Oryzias latipes: one gene and its partner. Each later gene encodes a partner of the first gene's protein in a complex. Links are inferred from orthologs where the notes say so. Each region holds a gene or a part of one and is shown on either strand. Other genes may lie near its edges.

Evidence for each region. The genes of interacting proteins can lie anywhere in the genome.
Region 2: vps8 (region 1) and tgfbrap1 share a complex: the UniProt entries of both Homo sapiens proteins name them as parts of the putative class C core vacuole/endosome tethering (CORVET) complex. The link is inferred for Oryzias latipes from reciprocal best matches to the Homo sapiens genes VPS8 and TGFBRAP1.

The regions. Positions count from the first base shown.
Region 1 is NC_019877.2:24,391,174-24,394,953, reverse strand, and holds part of vps8 (vacuolar protein sorting-associated protein 8 homolog), read left to right. Parts: intron 1-2,196; exon of another isoform or gene 2,197-2,263; coding exon 2,264-2,411; intron 2,412-3,248; coding exon 3,249-3,302; intron 3,303-3,572; coding exon 3,573-3,653; intron 3,654-3,780. UniProt on the Homo sapiens protein: Plays a role in vesicle-mediated protein trafficking of the endocytic membrane transport pathway.
Region 2 is NC_019861.2:16,418,245-16,423,683, reverse strand, and holds the start of tgfbrap1 (transforming growth factor-beta receptor-associated protein 1), read left to right. Parts: upstream 1-2,144; 5' UTR 2,145-2,356; intron 2,357-3,559; 5' UTR 3,560-3,578; coding exon 3,579-4,275; intron 4,276-4,364; coding exon 4,365-4,559; intron 4,560-5,439. Other genes in the region: cullin-4A, read right to left, coding at 226-341, 911-1,052. UniProt on the Homo sapiens protein: Plays a role in the TGF-beta/activin signaling pathway. It associates with inactive heteromeric TGF-beta and activin receptor complexes, mainly through the type II receptor, and is released upon activation of signaling.

The DNA.
Region 1 (3,780 bases):
CCTCTACACTGAAGGATAAATCCATTTATCAGAGGATGGAGGGACACCAATCCAATTTAAGGACACAGCTTCTTCACCTTTTCTGCTCTTGACTGCTGTAGTTTATCTTCTACACATTTAGATTGAAGGTTTGCAGAAGGAGAAGGCCCCCGGCTCTGCCAGACCATCCAGAGCAGACGGCATGACGCCAATATTCAGCTACAGCTGCCCTTCAACATTAGCAAAGTTCTAGTTTATGCTAAATGTGTGCAGAAACTAGTGTTTTATTCTGCATTCAGTCCAGATTTCAGCTGGACTCCATGTTGGATCACTGGCTCTGTCTACATTTCCTCCCTAACGACTAAAAACAACTCCTGGATTTTTAAAAGCCATCCGGACAGCATGGACATTGATTTGTGTTACATTTTAAACGACAACCTAATACATTCACGCATTTTACGAAGACCATTGATGAATCCACTGGAGATGAAAAAATAAAAGAAATACTTTTTATTCCACTTGAAAAATTCCTCTAAGGCAGGGGTCAGGAACCTTTTTGGCCAAGAGAGCCACAAATGCCACATATTTTGAAATGTAATTTCGAAAGAGCCATACAATAATGTAGTGTCCTTTCCCCACACTGAGGCACGGAGACTTAACCTCTTTTAAAGTTCTTTATTCCGATTACTGCAGACCGCAACAAACGCCGTTCAATTAATTCAGCAACTCCTGAATCTCTCCCGCCGACACGAGAGCGCTTCTCCCAACTTTATATTCACCTGCTCCCGCTCCAGCCCTCCCATTTCCCTTATTCGGCCCATAGCTGAACCCCATTGGTCCAAACTACCTAACAACAGGCTGAGCGACAGAACTGAGGGCCAATCAGATCTCTGCTTGACGCGTTCAATGAACTCCAGAACTTTTAACGCGGCCCGACAGCCATCCAACTCAGTCCGCGACAATTTGTTTAAAACTAAATATACAAGTGAATGTGTGCATTTGATTTAATTTCAACATTTTTAAAGTACAATAAGTCTGTGGATTCTTTTTAATAACATTGTTATGCTGTTGCTAATAAATGATGAGTATTTCTCGTGGTAGTTTTGCTGATGGTCTAGTCTGGTTGATACGTGGTGAGTTTCTGCTTCATGCAGGCGTTGAGACTTTAAACGTGATCTTAGGTTTGAATGTTCTGTAGATGTGAGACAGACTGATCACATGCAGACGGGGAACCAAACACACACTCACACGCTGCAGTGAGTGACGGGCAGCGGGTTTTATGTTATTACAATCCCTGCACGATTCACCTGCTGCCTGTCCCCACAACCCCTCACCCCCACCCTCTGCTTTCTTCCTCACACATCCCGTCTCCGCAACTGCGCGCTCTTTCTCAGAGACGGGAGCGCGCAGTTTTAGGCACGGCAATTCACAGGTTTCCAGTTGGTACAAACTCTGTGAAATTATAGATAATAGTAACTTATAGCGCTGGCGCAGATTTCTCTCTCTAAGCACCGCTACTACTGCGCGCCTCTGGCATCGCATCGCGCCCGAGAAGGACTGGACTAATGAAAAAAAAAAAAAGTATAATTAAAGATTTGTCTGCGAGCCACATGTGATCATCAAAAGAGCCATATATGGCTCGCGAGCCATAGGTTCCCGACCCCTGCTCTAATCCAAGGCATTATGGGCTATATTCACCAATTTAGTGAGCATGCTTACTGGCTTTTCACAGTAACTGCTAAAAGATTCCTCTGTAATCTGTAATCCACTGAGGAACGATTGAAGGACTTTTGGGTCAACGTTGGGAGAAAACATGGAGGAGGCCAACGCTGATGGCTGCACTGATAGAGTGAGTGTTTTGATGGAGGCGGGAACATCCCCTCTCTGTCATTCCTGCAGCCAATCGCACTGCAGAGAGGTATTTAGATGAGTCTGCACCCAATCCCAGACGTCCACAGGCTGGAACTAAACTCTGGCTCCAGAATGATGTCAGAGAGGAGCGAGTCGTCCTGAGGTCAACCTGAGGTCATCTGTGGAGTTAGATTGAATTTCCTGATGGATCCAAACCGACTAACAACAGCAGTTAAACCATTGGATGATATTTAAAGCCTGACTCCATTTCAAAGGACTTTCCAACAATAGAACATGTCAGCAAACAGTGTTTCTGTGCATGAAGCTCTAGAGGCACCTAAGGAAAAAGGTCTTTCTGTGTTTCAGTGCTAAATGTCTCCTGCGCTCAGACCCCCCCTCGCTCCCCAGCCCTCACAGACCTGTGTCTTTGCAGCTGTGGACATCTGTATCACCGCTCATGCCTGCAGCAGAAGGACTTGGCTTCAGAGCAGTGGAGGTGCTGCAAGTGTTCCTCCAGCCACATGCTGAAGAGGGGCCCTGCAGGGAGGCCCAGCCGCAGCCGCAGCACCTCCCTGGCTCAGGTTGGTGCTTTTTTATGATCCCGCCCACAAACGCATGGCGCGCACACACACTGGCTTTGTTATTCTGTCACGTTTTAGCTTAAAAAAGGCGACTAACGGGCAGGAAATGTGTGAAACCAAACCACTCATTTATTTCCCCCACGAATAACAGTCGTGCAACCAGCATTTCAAACATTGTAACCATTTTCTCTCAGGTTTGAGAGACTTTGTTAATATCAGATGCACCAAGCAATTCCACTCCAAACCTTTAAGAAGTTGTTAGACAATTCTGGTTGCTGATGTGAACCACCTGGATCAGGGTGGAGACCAGGAAGGAGGACGTAAACAACTGTTTTTTAATTAAATTAGTCAGGACTGTTAATAAGCAGTTTAGCCCTTGTGCCATCTTGTGGGGTCCAGATGACCCCACTCCCAACGCTAACATGCCTCCAAGGCATGTTAGCGTTGGGAGTGGGGTCATCTGGACCCCTCAAGAAGGCACAAGGGATAAAAGCCATTTTGACTTAGTAAAAGAAGCATTTGAAGATGGCATGGATGTGAGTAACCCTCTGAGTAATGCAGCCCTCAACCTATACCGCCGTTTAGCCCCTCCCTCTTCAGTACACGCCCTGCTTCCATGTTACCCACCAAAGTGGATTTCAACAGAACATTTCTCACAGTTTAGATCTCCACAGATCAAACCAGGTGGATTTACAGGTAAGTGAGCTGGGGGGGGGGGGGGGGGGGGGGGGGGTCTCTCACAGACCCACTCATGTACCACCTTTATCCTCACAGATGATGAAACTGAAAAAAGATGTTTAGCAGCTGTTGGTCACACGTCTTCCCTCTGTGCTCCAGACTCATGTTGCATCCGGCCATCATGACGCAGCAGCAGCAGCTCACAAGAAGAGGGTAGGTTTCATCCACCAATTATAATTTGATAGTTTTTCAGCAATAAAAGAAAAATCACAAAAATGTGGGAGAGATCAGGTGACTCTACATCCTTTTCAGGATTCTGATCATGGAGTTTGGGACTAGAGTTTGCTGGAAACTAAATGTTCTTTTTTAGGTGGAGAAAAGGCCCAAAGTAATCAGATAAACGGGAAGCTTTTGTTCAGATCACACAGGAAATGCAGCGTTACTCTGCTGCTGCTGTTGTCATCACGTTGTTGTTGTGCTCAGGTTCTGGCTGCAGCCACGTTGGACCTACAGCAGGAGCAGTCCTGGGATCTGACCCGCTGCCTGTTCAGAGGACCGGCCCGGGTACGCCACGCTCCAAACGGCCTTGCCCAAAAGAAACCTACTGTTTTGGGGAGATTTCTCTCCTTCTGCTGGTCTCAGATGATGTCTGACTGACTGGGGGGGGGGCATGACACCTTTGATTTATTTA
Region 2 (5,439 bases), on another chromosome or scaffold:
TTTTACAATACATAAAATCATGTAGCAGTTTATTTTATTTAAAGCATTGATCCATTCAGTGTTTCAGTTTACAGGTTGACTCTTAAACGGTAAATAACCGTTCTACACAAAACGGATCCAATTATGAATCAGAAAACTGTCCAAATTTGGGCAAAGATTTCGTAAAGCTGAGTGATGTGAACACAAGCTAAATGTAAGTGGAGCTTGGTGCTGAAAAATACGTACCTGATAGAGCTCTTCCAGATTGTACTTAATTGAAGTGCTGTTTTGGATAGCACTCACAGCGTCTCGAAGCTTCAGCCATGTATCCTCGGTGTAGTTCTCTGCTAGTTTGGGCCGGTCTGAAACAAAAACATTTCAATATTTAAGTCTCAAAAATTGAATACATTCATTTCTACAAAAACATGTACACACTCAGTGTCTCACATACATAAAATAAAGCTGAAGCTTTCTGAAAATTGCATGTTATTGTACTTTGTTCCTCATATGGGTGACAATAGTTTAAAACAAAAAGTCCATGTATGTCTAACATTCTTATTACTTATGCATGTTATTTAATGAGGCGTATTATTTAAACAGCCTGATAATTCTATACAAACATATTCCAATTTTTAATTTATAGGAAAGAAAAATCTAATCCGAATGTGAAGACTACAGTTTCATCTTTCTTCACTAAATTGTAGCTTAAGACTGAATAAATGTATATCCAATATGTTCAAATTGACACGCGTGTTCCTCACAAACACGCAAAAAAGTGATCAGGTCACAGCTTGTGTGACTCAACATCTTCACTAGACATGTAACCTTTACAGTATCATGATCCTATACTGAATGTTGGCCAGTCATGTTCCTTGGCTTGTGCCCATTGGTTATTCCACTGAAGGAAAACAAACCTGATGCATGACATTACCTTTAAAATTTTTTATCACCAACTTCTTTGAAGCTCCCGTTTTGCCCGATGCTAGAGCGGCTGTCCTGGCCATCCCGTTGGTGCTGAGCTCCGTTAAAGCGGAGAAGCTGGCCCTCTTGTTCTGTCGTGTGTCCTCTGCCATTATCTGATTAGCACTTTGGCTTAACGTAGTATGGTTCAAGTGTTTTGCTAAATTAGTGCTGGATTGGCCTGTTAACCCACTAACAACAATACTGACTTTTTTGTTGAGCAAACTCTTTTTGGTTATATGCACAGAAGGCAGTATTCTATTTTAAACTAAAGTACATACTTAGAGCGACGTACAAAGAGTAAGTTAATCAGAAAACATAACTATAGCCAGCTAGGAGGTAAACACACAGTTAGCTAACGGTGTGTTACCAAAACTCCACTTGAGCGACCAGTTTTCGTCCAAATCACAACACTTTAGCTTTAAACGCTAGTCTACGTCAGTGATAACTACGTCCATATTTTAACAAAATCGTTTACTAAGTTTGACAAAAGTAAAACAAAATCTAATCGCGGCATAATTACCGTGCATTTAACAGAATAATGTGTGTGCTGCTCTATTTACCATTTAGCTAGCTAGCACAACAAAATGGCTTTTCTCGAACAGTTGAGCTGGGCAGGTGCATCTTGGGTGAAAAGCAGCCAAGCTGCGTTCAAGAGCACAACTTCTGTCTTGTTATTATTATTATTATTACGTTTTTTATCATTACAGACATATTCAAACATGCCAAATTACTTCCCTGCCAGTACGTTCCCCCCCCCCTCACTGAGATCCTTCCCTGCAAGTAAGTGCAAGGCGGAGGAAAAAACAAAACTTAAAAATCTTAACGTCCTGAAAAATGAATTTAAATGACTTAAATCAATTTTTTAAAACTTGAATGCGTATTTAATCAACCAGTTTATAAACATTCAACATTATTATAATGTTTATTTATTGTTAATCTATTGTTAATCGAAATTAAATTACAGAGGAGGTCAATTTCTCAAAGCTACGCCTACAGTACAAGCAAAACGGTTTGTTTTTTTTCTGCGCGTGTTTAGTTTGATCTAAAATGGTTGATTTAAAAAGTATTTTCTTGATTCTAAATTTCAAGATGCTATTCAACTAAAACTAAAATATACAAAAATTTGAAGCAGAAAATAAAACGTTTTTTTCTTGCTAAATCACTGTCGCGCTTGTGTGTGATCTTGAACGCAGCTCTAAATCACCTGCAACCAGAGAGGGGGGGTTCTAGTGCAAATGGGCGGTGTTTCCCCGTGGATAAGGAAGACGTAACACTAAGCAAACATATTCTTTCTGTGGATGCAGTTAAATCGAGCACCATGACTGTAACCACGTTTAACCATAAAAACATGGCACGGTGACAGTCTCCGATTCAGTAAGCGTCGCTCGTGGGTCGTGCTCCGTCGTCAGCAGCGGTAAGTACGGTGGCTGCTGCTAACGCCGACAACTAGTCTGTGGCAAACCGGGCAGGGAGTTGGTCGGTAGCGCCTCTGGAGAGTGGAGCCCGATTGGAAATCCTCTGTCTTTCTTTGCGGGGACACCCTTACGGCATCTCGTTTAGATGCACGAACAGCTTTTTGTGTTTTAGACTGGTATTAATTCATAGTTAGCTGTAATTAGCTAGCTAACATTAGCTTTGCCTGTTAAGCTAATGGGAGCTTTTTAAAGTAGTCCAGGGAAACCCAACGTGGAAAATTCTGTCTTTTGATTAGCAGAAAAATCTCGACCCAAAACATAACTTTTAGATGCAATTTGTTTTTGGTGCTATGACATTTTGCTAATGCCAGTCCTCAATAAAAGAGGAGGTCATGAAAGTAAACAAACATTATCGTGTAATGTCAGTCAGTTAGCCAAGTTACAGTCTGACAGGAAATCCCTACATTTGAAACGAGGATTCAGCTTTAAAAAAGGGAAGTGACAACAGAAGACAGGTTAAAGTTGTACTGCTTGACCGTCGGGATCGTACAAATACACGTCAGTTAAAAATAATAAAACTTCAGTTAAAAACAAAAAAACAAAAACAGTGCTGGTCATAAAATGAAAACACGTGCTATCATATGACAAATGAAGCTAGTTGATGATTTGTAGACCTGTGAATCAAGCAGCTACAAGGACAAAAACGGATCCATTTTTGTTTCAAAGCAGCACAAAAATAAAACGGGAAAGCTAATAATAATATTGCATAATAATTTCAAATACTTTTGTTCAGTTTGTCTCATTTATAGTTTAATTATCTTCCATTTGATTTGGATTTGTGTGATTTATTCTAAGCTTGTGTACAATTATTCAAGATATCGCACAATATTACAAAATTGTTATGTATACAATGCCATACAATTACATATTAATACATATAATACAGATGCATAATTATTGCATCATTTGTTATCTGTTCAAATATTTAGACTACCGCTACTTGAATATCATTACATATTACCTGAATATCAAAATTATTCCTTTACTTGTTTCACGGTCCCTTTCCTTATAGCTCATATGTTGACAGTAGCCTCTCCTTCTATTTTGCTTTAAAATATTCAGTGTCTGGGCATTTATGACATAATACTGGGATGTAATTTTTGTTGGATGTATGTGATGTTGATTGGTTATTTTAATTGTAGTGTCGATGCCGTGGCTGAGATGAGTGTGAAGGCCTTCGAGCTCGTCCCGGCTGTGGAGCGAGACCTCCTCATGGGCGACAAAGCCCGCATCAACATCGAGTGTATTGAATGTTGTGGCAAGCACCTGTACGTCGGCACCAACGACTGCTTCATTCACCACTTTCTCCTCGACGAGGTCGCCTCGCCCATGGGGAAGCTGAGCTACTCAGCTCAGAAGCTTCTGAACAAATACTTGGGCCTGAAGAAACCGGTGGCTGAGCTGCGGGCTGCTTCTGCTTTGGAGCGCCTGATCGTGCTTTGTGATGGGATGGTATTTCTTGTAGACATGGTGACTCTGGAGAGCGTGCCCTCAGCGGCAGGAGGCGGAGTGAAGATCAGAGGAGTGATTGCCTTCTGCGTAAACGAGAACCCGGTGAACGGGGATCCGTTCTGCGTGGAAATGGCCATACTCTCCTCAAAGAGGCGAACCGTGCAGATTTACATGGTGCACAAGGACAGGGTGCAGCTGGTCAAGGAGGTGTCCACTCCGGAGCAGCCCTGCGCCCTCAGTCTGGATGGTTACTTCTTATGTCTGGCCCTCACCACACAATACATGATTCTGAACTACAACACAGGAGCCTCTCAGGACCTGTTCCCCTACAACAGTGAGGAGAGGAGGCCCATCGTGAAGAGGATCAGCAGGGAGGAGTTCCTCCTGGCTGCACCCGGGGGTCTCGGTAAGTTGCTACACGAGCATTTTTAGGAGAAGATGCTTGATTGACACGCAGCTTAACGTCAAATCGCGTCTCCGCTTTGTGACTTCCAGGAATGTTTGCCAATGCAGAGGGGGTATCTCAGCGGGCTCCGGTCAGCTGGTCAGAGAGCGTGATTGCTGCGGCTGTGAGTTTTCCCTACGTGGTGGCTCTGGATGAGAATTTCATCACCATCCACAGCATGCTGGACCAACAGCTAAAGCAGACTCTGTCGTTCAGGGACGGACACATACTGCAAGACTTTGAAGGTGCGCTTTCTTACGGGCTTTCTCTTTCGCATTTCTCATCAGTTTAATTTATTGAAAGAAACCATGACGACCAAGGCGATGTCAGAGTAGTTCTCAGAAGTTAGAAGGTTTGAAACCTTACTTTCAATTGTTGGTGTCTGTTCACTAAAGCGCAGCAGTGTTTCCGCAGTGTGCACTTCTTGTCCTTGAGACATATATGCTGTTCCTAGAAGGAGAGTGCACCTGACTCCATGAAAGACGCCATAATACCACCACACACACATCCACGTCTGTGCTAAGGCACTGTTTTGTGAAAAGTACAAAAACCCACAGAAAATGAAATGATGGCAGCAACTTGCAGGCATGGTTGAAATCCAGACTTGGAAGTGAATACTTTAGTTTTATTTTCATAAAAATCTCATTACATTTTGACAAAATATTGAGGCCGTTTAGCCATTTTCTTCAAAAAACCGTTAACCTTTCTGAAGAAGAATCAGGAATTACTGTACTCTTTTGTGAATCTTTCTGCCTTTCAATGAGAATAAAGATTTTAGTAAAAGATGTTTTTTTTTCTTTTTGTATAAGTTTTAGCAGGATCAGTGTTAGGTGTTAATGGCAGGAGGGAGGACATTAGTCAAGTTTTTTTCTTTAATAATTCGGAGCAGCTTATTTCCGTGCTGAGTTTGTGAGTCGTATATAACAAGAGTCGACCTTCTGTGGTAGCAGACCCATTGCACGCTACATGTCTCCGACTGACTGGTGATTGTTTTGAAAATAAAGCAGACATGTCTAATCACTACGCTGCAGCAGAACGATCCTCTTCAGCAAATGAAATTCCTGACGTTGTGACTTCAGTGTTACTCATTTGGGTTATTCTAATAGTTTATTTCTAAGAGAAACC